Linked DNA regions of Notamacropus eugenii. The protein of the gene in region 1 purifies or fractionates together with the protein of each later gene. This does not show direct contact. Links are inferred from orthologs where the notes say so. Each region holds a gene or a part of one and is shown on either strand. Other genes may lie near its edges.

The links.
Region 2: the proteins of CDK8 (region 1) and MED7 purify together in Homo sapiens (affinity purification with mass spectrometry; 7 studies listed by BioGRID and IntAct, counting the BioPlex papers as one, with this or other methods). This does not show direct contact. The link is inferred for Notamacropus eugenii from reciprocal best matches to the Homo sapiens genes CDK8 and MED7.

What each region holds. Positions count from the first base shown.
Region 1 is NC_092876.1:193,787,791-193,796,114, reverse strand, and holds the start of CDK8 (cyclin-dependent kinase 8), read right to left. Parts: upstream 3,081-8,324; coding exon 2,953-3,080; intron 2,561-2,952; exon of another isoform or gene 2,438-2,560; intron 1-2,437.
Region 2 is NC_092872.1:386,117,602-386,125,534, forward strand, and holds the start of MED7 (mediator of RNA polymerase II transcription subunit 7), read right to left. Parts: upstream 3,055-7,933; 5' UTR 2,920-3,054; intron 1-2,919. UniProt on the Homo sapiens protein: Component of the Mediator complex, a coactivator involved in the regulated transcription of nearly all RNA polymerase II-dependent genes.

The DNA of each region.
Region 1 (8,324 bases):
ATGAACCTCTGGAAAACTGAAACAATCTTAGGTTAAAATCCGATATTCAATACATCTTTGAAAGCTCATCATATAAACAAAAGGAAGCTCAAAGAATTTTAAATAAAAAAAATCTCCTTTTGAAAATACAGTCAGTATTCCTTTTGTTACAATAAAATTTTTTAAAAAAACAATTTATACAAGGTACTCTTTTTAAAACTGTTTTTAAATTATGGTAATTCTATCTTTTTAAAACAACATAAATTAAAACATGACAATGAGACATAAAAACATGTTGAAAAGTATCTCCTTCAAGCATACTGTAATACAGCTGGTTTAATAAAACGTGTAATCATAGTTAAAGCCACAAATTTGCATATTTATATCAGCATACATTGGCAATTTCTTGCAAATGTAGCTGGTTCCTCTTAAGGAATAAAAGAGTAATTCATAGTCAGTAGAATTTTATAAAATGCATGACAAGTTGATCAAAACAACTAGACTTTCCAATTTCCTGGGGTTCAAAATTTTATTAATTTCTCCAAACTTTTACACTGTGGGGAGAGGAGATTTTTGGGAAAATGTCTGTGAGAAATTAATCAAGCATGATTTGTAAAATGCATATATACTCTTCTGGTCATATTTTAATGACAAATCTAACTGGACAATAGAGTAAGCAATATATCCAGAAATTGTTTTCTTAAATGTCACTGAACTGACTATTCTGTTTTTAAAATGGGGGGAGGCAGAATTTTAAATATATTCAATAAATAGTATCAAGCTTTGAAATCCCTCCAGATTGATTGCAGATATATAAAAAGCTTTAACTCTCCAGAAAACTGCTGGAGTATACATACAAATCAGTAACTATGGCACTTTTCCTCATGGGCTTTCTATTTCACATTCTTTTTGAAAGAAATTTCAGTAAAGGTAAGAAAAATGCTGAATAAGTACTTTCTCTTCAATATGCAGAATATTCAAATTGTTTTTAATTGTTTCAATATTCGAAGATGACTTATTTCAGTTTTGTCAAATGCTTATTTCTGTGCCGACATTCCTGATTGATCCATCACATCCTGCTTTTCAAATAGAAAGAAAAAATCAAGCTGCCCTATTTTTAAGGTTAAGTAGTAAATAATCAAAAATGATGGGGATATGCAAGTATTCCTATGTTGATTTTTAATAAAATTCCAAAGCTTATATAACAAGACTTGAATAGTCTCTTCCCAACAATTCCAAGTGGAACGCAGGCTGGGAAGATATTTATTCATGTAAAAGAAAACAGGGAGTAATCAAATACATTTTCCACCCCAAATGACAACTGTCTTCTCTTTTGTCGATGTTATAAAATATTCCATCTACTGACAAAGGGAAAAAGGGAGTATTTCACCTGTCAGTTCGAGTAGCTATATTGAGAGGATTACCAGTCATAGATTTAATTAAGTTATGTACAAGAAAAAAAATTTTTTCAAGTAAACGGACTATTTAAAGTTCACTTCCAGCTCCTAAATTTGGGGAGGGGAGGAGGGAATACCTAGGCATAGAACATAGTCCCTATTTGTCACTAGTCATTTCCCACCACCCACCCTGCATCAAACCCCCATTGTTCTATGTAAAAACTCACTGCTTCTCCATGGGCTAATGAAATCTAAATGGCAAGTGCCACATACACGTAGGAGATGATCATAGTAATCAGCTCCCGCTATCAACATTTCTTTGCCGCCTTCCTTCCAAGAAATAAAACCCGAATTTAAAGGTAAAAAACGATTACAAACTGAGGGGAGGAAAGAGAGAAGGAAGGAGAGGGAGAGAGAGGGAGGGGGAGAGGGTGAGAGAGAGTGAGAGTGAGTGAGAGAGAGAGAGAGAGAGAGAGAGAGAGAGGAGGGAGAGGAAGGGAGAGGGAGGGAGAGAGAGGGAGGGGGAGAGAGGGAGAGGGAGGGAGAGAGAGGGAGGGAGAGAGAAAGAGACAGAGACAAACAGACAGAGAGAGGGAGGGAGAGAGAGGGAGAGGAAGGGAGAGAGAGAGGAAGAGAGAGGGAGGGGGAGAGGGAGAGGGAGGGGGAGAGGGTGAGGGAGGGGGAGGGAGAGAGGGAGGGAAAGGGAGGGAGAGGGAGGGAGAGGGAGGGAGAGGGAGGGAGAGAGAAACAGAGACAGACAGACAGAGAGAGAGGGAGGGAGAGAGAGGGAGAGGAAGAGAGAGGGAGAGGAAGAGAGAGAGAGAGAGAGAGAGAGAGAGAGAGAGAGAGAGAGAGAGAGAGAGAGGGAGAGGCAGAGAGGGAAGGAGGGAGAGGGGGGAGAGAGGGAGAGAGAGAGAGAGAGAGAGAGAGAGAGAGAGAGAGAGAGGGGGGGGGGGAGAGAGGGGGAGAGGGGGAGAGAGGGAGAGAGGGAGAGAGGGAGAGAGAGAGAGAGAGAGAAAGAGAGAGAGAGAGAGAGAGAGAGAGAGAGAGAGAGAGAGAGAGGAGAGAGAGAGAGAGAGAGAGAGAGAGAGAAGCAGAGAGGCGACCCCAGCTGCCCTTAAACTGCACCGCTCTCCAGACTGATGGATGTCACTCGGGAGGGGGATGGGAAAGTCCCCAGAACGGTAAGCACAGCATACTAATGCAACTTCTAACACCCAGCTCGCCGCCCTCCGACCAGAGGCGCTTCTGCCGACCCCTCCTCAAAGAGCACAGCTGCCGAGGGCCGGGGACGCCCCTCTCCCGCGGCTGCCACCGCCACCCCTACCCACGGTGGAAACAAGCACAAGCGGCACCTGGGATTTCTGGCTATCTGGATTCCTCCCCCATCCCCCCTTCCGCGCAGACCTGGCTAAGGGGACCAGGAAGAATGGGAAGCGTGGGAGAAGGGCTGCGGGGCAGAGCCGGCGGGTGACACGGCCGCCCCCCCACGCCCCAGCCCGGCCCGGCCCTCCCGCCGGCCTGCTGGAGCGCACCCGGGCGGGCACGCACCGGGGCCCACGCACGGCCCACTCACCCGTCCTTCCTCTTGGCTTTGTAGACGTGACCGTAAGTGCCGCGGCCAACTTTGCAGCCCTCGTATTCAAACAGGTCCTCGACGCGCTCCCGCTCGCTGCTGAGCTTCACTTTGAAGTCATAGTCCATTGTCACAGCCTCCGGGCGGGCGGGCGGGGAGGGGGAGGCGCCGGGGCCCGGGCCGGGGTCCGGGGGGGAGCGGAGGCAGCCGCGGCCCCCGGGGTCCCGCCCGCTTCACGCCCGCCGGCGGCGGCACCACCCCGGCTGATGCAGGAAGAGGAGGAGGAGGAGGCCCCGCGCCGGAGCCGGGGACATCCAGCGGAGGGGCGAGAGACGGAGCCGGGGAGCGAAGGGGAAGCGGCCGGGGCCCGGAGCCCGGAGCCCGAGCCGCTCTCGGTCCTCGTCCCCGGGCTGGCTGGGGCGGCGGCGGCGGCTGCAGAGGCTGCCGCTCTCTTCCTCCTCCTCCTCCTCCTCCTCCTCTCCCTCACACACTCACTCCCTCTCTCACCCACTCACACACACACTCACCCACTCACACGCGCAAGCACACTCACCCAGAGAGGCAGCGGCACCACACAACAGCCGGTATCTACACACACATACACACACACACACACATACACACACACATACATACACACACTCACACGCACACACACACACAAACACAGAGAGAGGGAGAGCGAGACCGGAGGGGAGGGGGAAATCACGGAACGCGGCCGCGGCTGTCGCAAAAAAACGTCGCAAACCCTCAGGTTCCCTTCTCCTCCTCCTCTTCGTCTTCCTCCTCCTCCTCCCCCTCCCCGACAGCTCTCGGCCTCGGAGCTCGCTGCCCCTCGCGGCGACACCCGAGCCTCACGGAGCCGGTGGGGTGAGAGTGTGAGGCAGCCGGCAAACCCCAGCTGGTGCCGGGCCGACCACGTGGACTAGTCCGAGGCGTAGGGACTACGACTCCCAGAAAGCAGCATGCTCCTCCCTTCCCTCCGGCTCCCACCCCCTTTCATGACTCCGCCCCCGGAGGGAAGTTTTTATTGCATCCTGGGATTTGTAGTCCTCTCGAGGATTACGTGCCTGTATAGAGCTGGAAGGCACCCTAGTAGGAAGTGCGGAAATAAGTATTTATTTAATGCGATGTGCCAAGCGCTTTATAAATACTATTTCGTTTAATCCTCACCACAAAGTGGGGATCATAATAGCACCTACTTCCAGAATGGTCGTGAGGATCAATCGAGATAATATTTGTAAAGCTTCGCATAGTGTCTATGAAACATTTCTAAAGCTCAGCATGGTACCTGGCACGTAGGAAGTGCTATAAACTTTTGTGATCATTATCCCCACTGAAGAAACTGAGGCAGACCGAGGTTAAGAGACTTGCCCAGAATCATGACGCTAGGAACCGTCTGCGATGGGATTTGAACTCAGGTCTTCCTGCCTCCAGACCAGCTGCTTTAGCCACTGAGCTAGTTTCCTGTCACTCTGGACTTTAGAAGTCACCTAGTTCAATCATCTTATTTCCCAGATGATCAAAGTAAAGGTCCAGAGTCCTGCCCAAAGCAGAGTCAAACCCTGTCCCAGATATTTCCTGGCTATGTGACCCTGGGTCAGTCACACCTCCGTGCCTCAGTTTTCTCTTTTGTAGAAAATGGAGACTGGTTTCAGGGTCCTCACCGTTTTCTCTTCCCAGCTCTAAATCTATGTTCCCATCAATCAAAATATAATAAAAGCCCATAGTCTGTTATTATATCTTACCAAGTTATTATAGTTTTACCCATATCATAGTTTACCAAGAACATTCCTAAAAACCAGCCTGGCAAGGTTGATAGTGCAAATATTATTTGCCTTTTTTAGAGTTAAAACAAAATGAAGCTCCACAGAGCCATTCTCTAATGCCTTGATAATGTGAGGTGGCCCTGTCTTCATAAAGTCAGTGCCAGTGGAGGACAATACGTGGCAGTTTCTACTATTGTGGAAAGGGTTCCAACATGACAAGAACCATAGACTGTTTCTCCTTTGTAAAGACTGTCATAGAGGTATATAGGGAGGGTCAGTACCAATAAACAGACTTCTTGTTGATGAATTTTTCACCCATAGCAACCTATGAACCAAAATAAAAGACAAAACAGTCCTCAATCCTGTGCTGCCCCCTTCTGCTTCTGCTGTGAGGGTGACAGAGTTTTAGAGAAAAGGAAAAAATGGTTCTGTGAATCGCACAGCTATAAACATTAATTTAGCTACTTGAACACAGAATGTTAGATCCTTATCCAAGGACCACTTACTAAAACAGCTGAATCATAGCAATTTTAACTTTTCACTATTGATGGAACCAGAAGACATAGAAAGTTGTAGTTAAATGGAAGGATGGATCACAGATTCTCCATGGAAAGGCACTTAAAGAACTGGCCTAGTTGGTTTTATTCTGCATTCAAAGATGAACAAGAAATATCATAGCACATTTGATTATCTTATATGGCAGTGCTCAAAATAGATGTATAGGAAAATACCACCATGAAAATTATTGTAATTTATACATCAATATTGTTGCAGAGAATTGAGAAGTAAAGAAATTTTGCAGATACAAAAAGACCTTTCAAATTAAATTATCATCTATATTCATACATGGTGATATCAACATAAACATGAGAATGGAGGAACTATGCAAGAATGGATAAAATATATTTCAGGAGTAAGGGATGCAAGAGGACAAAGAATTATATACTCCATAGAAATCCCACACCTATACGCCAGGAATATTTTTTTTTTCAAATTTATTGATTTATTTGTTTTCAATTTTCAACAATCACTTCCATAAGTTTTAAATTTTCTCCCTTTCCTCCCCCCTTCTTCCTTAAGATGGCATACAATCTTATATGGGCTCTACATATACATTATTAAACACATTTTCACATTAGTAATGTTGCATAGAAGAATTAAAATGAATGGGAGAAACCATGAGAAAAACAAAAGAGAAAATAGTCTGCTTCATTCTGCATTCTGACTCCATACTTCTTTCTCTGGATATGGGTGGCATTTTGTATCATGAGCTTTTGGAAATGTTTTAGGTACTTGCATTGCTACAAAAGGCTAAGTCCATTAAAAATAGTCTGCATACTGCCTGTTACTGTGTATAATGTTCCCCTGATTCTGTTCACTTCACTCAGCATCAGCTCATATAAGTCTTTCCAGGTTTTTCTGAAGTCTACCTGTACATCATTTCTTATAGCACAATAGTATTCCATTATATTCATATACCACAACCTGTTCAGCCATTCCCCAATTGATGGGCATCCCCTTTATTTCTAGTTCTTGGCCAAGGAGGGCAGCTAGGTGGTGCAGTGGATAGAGCACCAGTACAGGAATCAGGAGGACCTGAGTTCAAATCTCACCTCAGATACTTGACACTCACTAACTGTGTGACCTTGGACAAGTCACTTAACCCCAACTGGGTCATCTCTAGTCATCCTGATGAATATCTGTTCACTGGATTCAGATGGCTCTGAAGGAGAAGTGAGGCTGGTAACCTGCACAGCCCTCCCTCACTCAAAACAAAGTCAAGTGCAAGTCATGTCATTATTTCTCTGATGGCATGGTCTTCTTCAGCAACAAAGGACAAACACACACAGTTCTTGGACACTCCAAAAAGAGCTGCTATACATATTTTTGTACATGTGGGTCCTTTGCCCATTTTTATGATCTCTTTGGAATACAGTCCTAGAAGTAGTATTTCTGGGTCAAAGGGTATGCACATTTTTATAGCCCTTTGGGCATAGTTCCAAATTGCTCTCCAGAATGGTTGGACCAGCTCACAGCTCCACCAACAATGAATTAGTGTTCCAACTCTCCCACATCTTTTCCAACATTTATCATTTTCCTTTTTTGTTATGTTAGCCAGTCTAATAGGTATGATGTGGTACCTCAGAGTTGTTTTGATTTGCATCTCTCTAATCAATAGTGATTTAGTGCATTTTTTCATATGACTACAAATGGCTTTAATTTCTTCTTCTGAAAACTGCTTGTTCATATCCTTTGACCATTTATCAATTGGGGAATGACATATTCTTTTAAATCTGACTCAGTTCTCTATATATTTTAGAAATGAGACTTTCATCACAGACACTAGTTGTAAAAATTCTTTCCTACTTTTCTGCTTCCTTCCTAATCTTGGTTGCATTAGCTTTGTGCAAAAACTTATCAATTTAATGTAATCAGAATTATCCAATTTGCACTTCATAATGTTCTGTATCTTTTGGTCATAAATTCCTCCATTCTCCGTAAATCTGACAAATAAACTATCCCTTCCTCCCCTAATTTGTCTATAGTATCAGCCTTTATATCTAAATCATGTACCCATTTGGACTTTATTCTGGCATACAGTGTCAGATGTTGGTCTATGCCCAGTTTCTGCCACACTATTTCCCAGTTTTCCCAGCAGTTTTTGTCAAACAATGAATTCTTATCCCAAAAGCTTGGGATTATCAAATGTAGACATGAATACTTTCTTAGAGAAAAGATTTGGAAAACACTGGGCATGATGAACACCAAATAACATCACCAAAAAAATTAAATGATTATAGTTTAACAAGCAAGAAAGAACTTGTTCCTGATATGGGAGCCATTGCTAAATCAGCTCTCTGAGTAGAGTCAACCTCTAACTTCTTAGAGCAAAGATCAAAAGTAATATAAAATTACATGAAAGAATAAAAAAAAGATAGAATGTGCAATTTTAAAAAGTCAGCTCCAACTTGACTTTTTTCAATAAGCTTTTGACATATAAAATAGAAAATGGATATAGGAAAAGACATACAATGATCAAAACTTCACACCAAAGCACAATTGATATGTCAATTGTCATTATGTTGAAATCAAAGAAGCTGAAAAATCACCTCAGGCACCAAATACTTGATCTATTTGAGAAGTAGAGATATATCAGCCAATGACAAAACCAGGTTAGAATATAAGCTTGTTTGTAAAACCTTACAGAAAAGGATAGTCGTAGATTATGAACAGTATCATCTCATGAAATAGCTAAAAAGCAGTGGTGGAAAGAAAAACAGTTTAAAAATAGGTGAGAAACCAAACTAAAATAAACTCATCCCAAATCTATCTATTTAACAATGAAAGTAAAAGGTGAACATCCAGCAGATGAAAGATGTTTAATTAGGCTCTGTACATGTACAAATAACATCAATTTGCTAAGATGGCATCTCTCAACATGGAGAGAGTCTTGGTTGTGTTTTATAAAGACTGGAATGTGTAGACATTCTACATTGGCCTACCCTGTGGTTTGGAGAAGCTTCTTTTTTCATTGACTGTGTAATGAGAACTATTGCCATTTTTTAAATGGTCAGAGTCAGCACCAGCTAAGGATTCCAGCAT
Region 2 (7,933 bases), on another chromosome or scaffold:
AGGATGAAGATGAAATAGAAAGTAGGCCAGTGTAGCTGGACTATAAAGTGTGTGAACAGAGGTAATAAGTTCAGAAAGGTAGGCTGGATACAGATTGCCAAAAGCTTTAAAGTCCAAAGAGAGAAGTTTGTATTTGATCCTAGAGGCAATAAGGGACCAAATGAAGCTTAAGCAGATGACTATCATTGCTCCTTTAAGAATATCTCTTTGATAGCTGTGTGGAGAATGGATTGGAAAGGGGGAAGACATCTGAGGCAAGAAAACTAATTAGGAAGCAATTGTAATCATACAGTTAAGAGAGAATGAATAGCTGAACTACATGATAGAGCAGGGGGAAAAAAAAGGATCTGAGAGATGTGGAAAAAGGAAAAAACAAAACAACTGACTAGATGGGAAAAGCAACTCAGAATCATAGAATCATGCATCTAGAGCCCTAAGAGATTTCTGAGGCCATCTTCAGAGCCAATCCTCTTATTTTGGAGATAATAAACTCAAGAAAGTGAAGTGATTTATCCAAAAGCATAAAGAGGCAATGAAGTGTTTCTTGAGGATAACTAAGAGGCTGTAAACTAGGGACTAAAGGACTGGGGGTACCCTCAACAAAAATAGGAAAGCAAGTTAAGTTTGGGGAAAGATAAAGAATTATGTATTGGAAATGTTTAGTGTGAAGTGCCTTTATTTGGATTATTCAAGTCAGACATATCCAATAACCAACTGGCAATTCTAGACCAGAGAATTTTAAGCTCCCTAACAGCAAAGAGTTTTAATTATTTATATATATAATACTATATACTGTATATAATTATATATATAATATATAATATAGATGTGTGTGTATATATGTGTGTGTGTGTATACGTATATATAAAACACCAGCATCTGGCGACTAGTTCAGTGCTTTGAACATGAAAAGGCTCTTAACGACTACTTATGGGACTTCCTTCTGAGGAATCGGTTGGACTAGATGGCCACTGAGGGTGAGGTCCCTCCAAAGTTGAAGTTTTCTTGAATCAAAATCAAATAAAAATACTAGCAATATGTGAATTCACATATGAAAAGGAAATAAAAGAAGTCCAACATTCTTTATTTTTTGGGATGGGAAAGGGTTGAAGGTGTCTTTGAAAAAGGGTACAGAGGCAGTGGACACCACTGGAATACACAGGTTCAAGGTCTCAGATGGCACTTATTTATGTGATCTTAGCCAAAGTCTTCCCTCACCAATGCTCCTTATAACTACAAGGTGATGGGCCTGAAAGCATCCGCAACTGGTATGGTAAATTTCCTCACTGTCCCAAAAATAACATACTCTTTTCCCCCTCACCTGGAACTGCCTGTCTCCTTACCAGTTAGCCAAAGAAATCCTATCTAGATAAAGTCCTACCTCTAAGCTACAAGGCCATAATGGTAAAAACCACTACACCTTGCAAATTAAAAAACAAAAACACTGCTAGACTCTTAATTCCCGCTCTACCTGTGTGATCTTGAAAACATTGCTTTAAACACCACCAAGCTAAAGTTTAATCAGTAAAGGGGTTTTAGTCAAGTGAATTAAAAATATCCCTTTATATCCTATAACCATTGCTTTTTTCAAAGATTGTCCTCATGCAGAGTCTCTTCTCACCTCCTTAAATTAAACACCACCTTCCAGCTGCTGGTGCGCCCCTTACGTCCCGTGCAGTTAGACCTAAGTTTGTAGGAAACGATTTTGTTTCGTCTCTGAATCCCCAAGTTCTCATGAAGTAAATGCTTGTGGATTCATTTGAGCCACTCACTACCAAAATAACCCCGTGTAAATCACTTAACCTCTCAGAGCTCCTTTTTCCTTTGTAAAATAGGTATATAAACGTCTGCTTCGCTGAGCTGTTTTTAACCAAACGGGACCACTAACGTACAAGGTTGGGAAACATTAAAGAACCAGCATCAATACCGATTTTTTGGGCTATGACGACCACCTCTACACTCTAAAATGAGTTTCATTCAGTTCTGACAAAACGGCGGCAAAAGTCAACAGCGATCCTATGCCAAGGTGTGCGCTAAGTACGGGAACACCAAGAATGTTTTCCCTCCAGGAGCATTCGATGAGGGGTTGGGGGGGCACACGAACACCTCCGTATAAACAAGAGTTGGGGGGCACACGAACACCTCCGTATAAACAAGAGTTGGGGGGGCACACGAACACCTCCGTATAAACAAGAGTTGGGGGGGCACACGAACACCTTTATATAAACAAGAGTTGGGGGGGCACACAAACACCTCTGTACAAACAAGAGATGGGGGGGTGCCGAGACACAGAGGGAAAATGTTCGCACTAAAGGTACGAGTTAAGGCTGGCGGGTCTTAGAGGAGAGTCGGGGGGTGCCAGGACGTGAGGAGGAGGAGGAGGAGGGGGAGGGGGAGGGGGAGGGGGGGGAGGGGGAGGGGGAGGGGGAGGGGGAGGAGGAGGAGGAGGAGGAGGAGGAGGAGGAGGAGGAGGAGGAGGAGGAGGAGGAGGAGGAGGAGGAGGAGGAGGAGGAGGAGGAGGAGGAACACCGCAGGCACCGGGAGGGAAAATGCACAGTCCCCAAACCTTCCAAGTCTCACTTTCCTCCGGGGGCCCGCAGGGACGAGCCTCTCGGCAGGGGGTCCAGGGGGCCGCCCGACTGGGGCGGGGGGGGGGGGCCCAGCTCCCACACCCACAGGCCTTCCACGGGGAGGGGCCGCGACCCCCGCCGTAGCCGGGGCGCCGCGAGGGGGCGGGTAAATCGGGGGGGAGGGGGCGGGGATGTTTACAGAAAAGGGCAGGGGCGAGCACGCCGAGCGCCCTCCCCACAGCCGGGAGCCTGCAGCTCCGCTGGCCCTTTCCCTGCCGAGAAATCCCCCGGGAGAAAAAAACCCAAACCGCGCCGAGATCCCACGTCCCCAGCTGACATCGCCACTCACCTCCCACTACTTCACGCAGTTTCTAGAGCGTCGCGGATAAACCGCGTCTATGGCCGCCGACTTCCGGCCGCCTTAGTCAGGAAGAAGAGCCTCCCCTCCCCGTCTCCCCCATGGAGCGCCTTCTGATTGGCTCCCGGAGCCGTCCGTTAAGGCACTAACCCTCCCCCCACACGGTCTGTTTAGGGGCTGGCGCGGCTCCCACGCCTGCGCATGCTCCCTGGGACTTTTGCGGGACTGAAAGTTCTTGGGGGGAATTTTTCCAGAGAGGCAAATCAAGGGAACCTTTTGTCGAAAGTCACGGCTGATACGGCCGCTAGTATTTAAAATCGGAAAGAAAAATAGTGGGGGAAAAATCATGGAAAGGAGATACTTTGAAAAATACTTTAAAATGTAAAAATTCAGTAATTTAAAAAACTTTAAAAAAACAGTAATTGTTCTTCTAGCTCTGAAGTTTGGTACACACTAGACACACTTTTGTTAAACTCCTTTGAATTCCGTTGAGACCCCATGAGAGGCGGGTCCCCGCAGTCGGCATTCTCCCCATTTTATGGAGGAGAAAACAAATCACGTGACCTGCCTGTGTTCACACCTTTAGGGTCGAAGGCAGCCTCAGACCCTGAAATTCACCAGTCCTTTCCATTACAGGTAGGCGCAGCTGTCGCAGTGTGCAACATAAAATAGGTGCTCCTAGAGCTGTGGATCCCAATTCCTCCCATGGGTGGTCTCTGCCTTCAAGGCAGAGGTAGAAATCAGGCTTGGAGTCAGCAAAGCCTGAGTGCCAGTGTGGCTTCATGCGCTAACTGGGCAAGGGTGGGCAAGCCCCTCAACCTCTACCTCAGTTTCCTCGTCTATAAAGTGAAGTTGTCTCCCAGGGTGGCTGTGAGGATCCAGTGGGAGGACTGTAAGGTGCTTAGCAAATACTACACAAATGTTAGCTATCATTATACAACCCAGTAGGCACCGTTCAAAACCTCTAGGTGGTCCAGTGGGTAGTGTATTAAATTATCCTAGGGGTTCACAACACATTTCTTTTTTGTTGTTCCTGGTGAAAAGGATTCTCAGGACAAACAAACAAAAATTGGCAACTACTTCTGTAGTGAAAGATGACCACCAATATAAAATGCAATCCAAGTGGGGGAATCCAAAAAGATATCCCAGAGGCTGGAAAAGCAGGGAAATCTAGTAGGGGATAAAAATGTAGTACCCCAGGGGGAGTCAGTCAATAAAAGTGAGAGAAATCATTGTTAATAATCAATGATTTGGGGCCATTCCCCCCTTTTTTCTTAAGTCCTGATTTTAAAAGTTCAGTCTCTCAAGGAGTGTTATTGATAATGAGACTGAACTTTCTTGTTCAGACCCTATGTGGTTGGAGAAGTTATTTTGCACTGGGTGAGGAATCAGTTCTTTGAATAGATTGCCCAAGGCAGTAATTTAGGAAGGAAGTGACATAATCAAAGTTCCTGGATGAGCCCCCTCCTTGAAATCCACATAATCTCACTGTTAGCTAATCAGAATTGATGGCTACCCTTGTAAACATTCCTCTTCCAATGGGCATACAAGCTTGAGCCGCAACCAAGATAATCTTTGGTCCAAGAGAAATAGGTAAATGACCATCTTTTACTAATAAACATGCTGGCATTATTAATAAAATGATTAATTACCCGGAAATTACATCTATGAGGCTGAGTGATAGGAACTATGCTAAGCATTTGTGTTCATCCTTCATTGCCGAAGAAGACCATGCTGTCAGAGAAATGATGATATGACTGCATTTGACTTTGTTTTGACTGAGGGAGGGTGGTGCAGGTCACCAGCCTATCTTCTCCGGAGCCATCTGAATCCAGTGACCAGATATTCATCAGGGTGACTGGAGATAACCCAAGATGCACTGGGAGATCTTGGCCCCTTTAGGCCAAAGTCTATGCAGGTACCCACTTAGGATGAGCACTGGGCATACAAAGAAAGACCAAAACCCAGTCCCTGCCCTTCAGGAGAGGTTGGCTACCACAGAATTTCAAGGTATAGGGAAGACCTGAATTCCTAAGACTATGGCCCACAAACCCTCAATGATGTATTTACTTTCAATAGTCACCCAGAGTATATGATAAGCTCAAAGCAAAAACATTGCTGAAATATAATTTTAAAAAAAGTAGCAGCTAAACATTTCCATAAATGAACAGTTCAAACTTTCCCACTAATAACCGACGTCAATGGGAAGAGTTAACACAAACAGAGATCACAAATAGGAAAGCTCATATAGGAAACACATGTGAGACCAAGGCACTCATAGGGAAGGGAAGCCAGAAAGGGATATTTACCTCTCCAAAAGCCTGCAGATCTGTTCGTTTTGGTGCTGCTTCTACTGCTCTTGGTGGTGAAGTTTTGACTGGATGCTGTTGGACTTTCCTGGATTCTTCTTGTCTGTGCCTTGTCCCACTGGTCACTACTGGACACTGCTTAACTGCAGCTTGCACCTTCTCCAGCCCCTGAATCAAATAAGTCAATATATAAGGAGGTACTTTGCAAATCTTAAATTGTTAGGCTAGTGCTATTGTTATTTTTGTTCTGGGCAGGAACCTTGGCCTGAGGACCAGCAGAAGGAATCCCCCATGCTGCTCCCTCAGAAACCCAGGTCTGAGGCCAGCTGTGTCCTGAGTAAGAGATCCTTAACTCCACATGCCAAGAACAAAGAACACAGGAAGCAAATGCTAAGGGTTAGTATTTTTTGCCCAAATTTTTACTGCCACCACATTTAGTCATTATTATGCTTATTAATAGGCTGATAATACACTAATATCATCAACCCCTCTAGGAACAAGCCAGCAACCTGATTCCTAAAGGTCTTAAGTCTCATCCCAGTGCTCATGGAAAGTTTCCTTCCTTCCTTTGCTCCTGAGGAGGTGGCTTTCTGGTGAGTCTCCATAACTGGCACTTTGCACTGTTCTTGAGAGAATGTTCAGAAGCCTGCCTTAGTTGAAACACAAGAGCAGGGTGAAGGCTTGGGTCTCTAGTGCTGCGGGCTTTTATGGTTCTGGTGAAGGGAGTTCCCAAGTTATGTCTATGTTCTGACTGGTGATTAGTTACCTAAGCTACTGATGAAATTATCCATTACAGAACTACCAATCAAAGTTTTAGTTTCCTAATGTCATTACTAAACGTTGGGACTTTTGGAAGATTTGGGACAACATACTTGATGCAATTTGCAGGTACTTAACTGTTACTTACCAGATTTGGGGAATAGTCATTAGTGATTACTTGCTGCTCTTTGTCCTTTTCTAGAAGATAACAATGACTTCAGGAAGATGATGCCATGACTTGAAAGTGAACTGGATTTAAGTGAGGGAGGGATGTGCAAAGTCACCAGCCTCACTATTTTCCTCTGAAGCCATCTGGGTCCAGTGGCATGATATAGATGGCCCCTGGAGATGGCCCCCAATCATTTAACAGATTTGTGGGCCAAACTATACCACTCAAGTGCTTATCTTATTACAGGGAGAACAAAATAGCTTATATATGGACTATTTAGTCATAAAATGGAGGTTGAAAACCAAATGGAGTTGCTCAGCCTAATATATTTATTCCTAATACATCAATATACTTTCAAATATGTTCTCAGTGAATTAGGTTATAAATCAGGTAATGGTTATTATTTGTGTGAAAGTCATTAAATCATTAAATATTTATTAAGCACTTAATGTGCCAGTCACAGTGCTAAGTTCTAGGGCAACAAAAAGAGACAAAAGACAGCCTGCCTTCAAGGAGCTTACAATCTATTGGAAGAGGTAATATGAATACGAATGTGTACAAAGGAAGTTATATATATGCAGAATAAATAGGAAATAATTAACAGAGAAAAGGCACTAGAATTAAAAGATTTTAGGAAAGGCTTCCAATAAAATAAAGGACTTAAAGGAAGATAGGGACGTCAATAGTTAAAGCTGAGGAGGAAGAAGTAGTTCTAGGGAAGACCAGAAAAAGTTGAAGTCATACAAAGTCTAAAAGTCAAAGTCATGCCCCACCCTAGAAATTGTAGGTGTGTGAATTCCTCAATTTAATTGGAAGAGGCCTCTCCAAAACAATGAGTGGGCCTTAGGCTACTTTCACTTTTATCCTTATCTACTCGGCTACCTAAGACTCCCTAAGGTATAGGCCAGAGGATGACTGAAATGAAGCTAATCATAAGGCTAAAGGAGGAGGGAGAAGGGACTTTTAAGTGAGGAAAAATTTGATAAAAATAATAAGATTTGGTGCCCTGACTGGAAGAACTCAGTAGACGTCCAAGGGTCTTCATGTCCTGCATCCAGACATTCTGCTCCCTTTTAGTTCCTTTTTGTGTGTTTTCTTCCCCCATCAGCTGGTGAGCTCCTTTCCTTTTCCTTTTTTTGTATCCTCCTCCATGCACATACTTAGCATAGTGCCTACCACATAGTAGTTCTTTAATAAATGTTTATTGGCTAACTGACAATGAGGAGGCATCTTACTCTACTGGATGTAGTTCACAATACCACATCCGTATTGCCAGCCATTTCTTCACAGTCATCAGTACTCCTAGTCCCTCAGGGTACAAGCAGTAGCCTCAAGAGGGAGAATTTATCATCTCTTGAACTCTATACCTCTTATCTTCTTTGTAGAATTCTCTGTGTACTATTTATAGTCATGAACACACATGAATACACACAAAGATTCATGAATACATACATTGTTTTGAAAACATGCATTGCTGTGCATCCTGAGATTGTTTTGCCTCATAGGTAGGTTAGAGTTTCAAAGGATTTTTTTCTTTTAATTGTTGCCCTTTTTAATGAAGAGCAGGGATTAGGAAGTGAAGATTCATAATGTGGTTTTTTTTAAAAAGGCCATTGAAATATGGTCTGAAATGCACAACAGAGAACAGAAGGAAGTTCAGAGGAATCTAAAAAGTAGGAGAGTTTGGGAATTAGTGTGTAATTTGTTGTATACCTTTTATAATTTGAAATGCATGCAATATGAAATGGGGATTCATAATATCATGCAA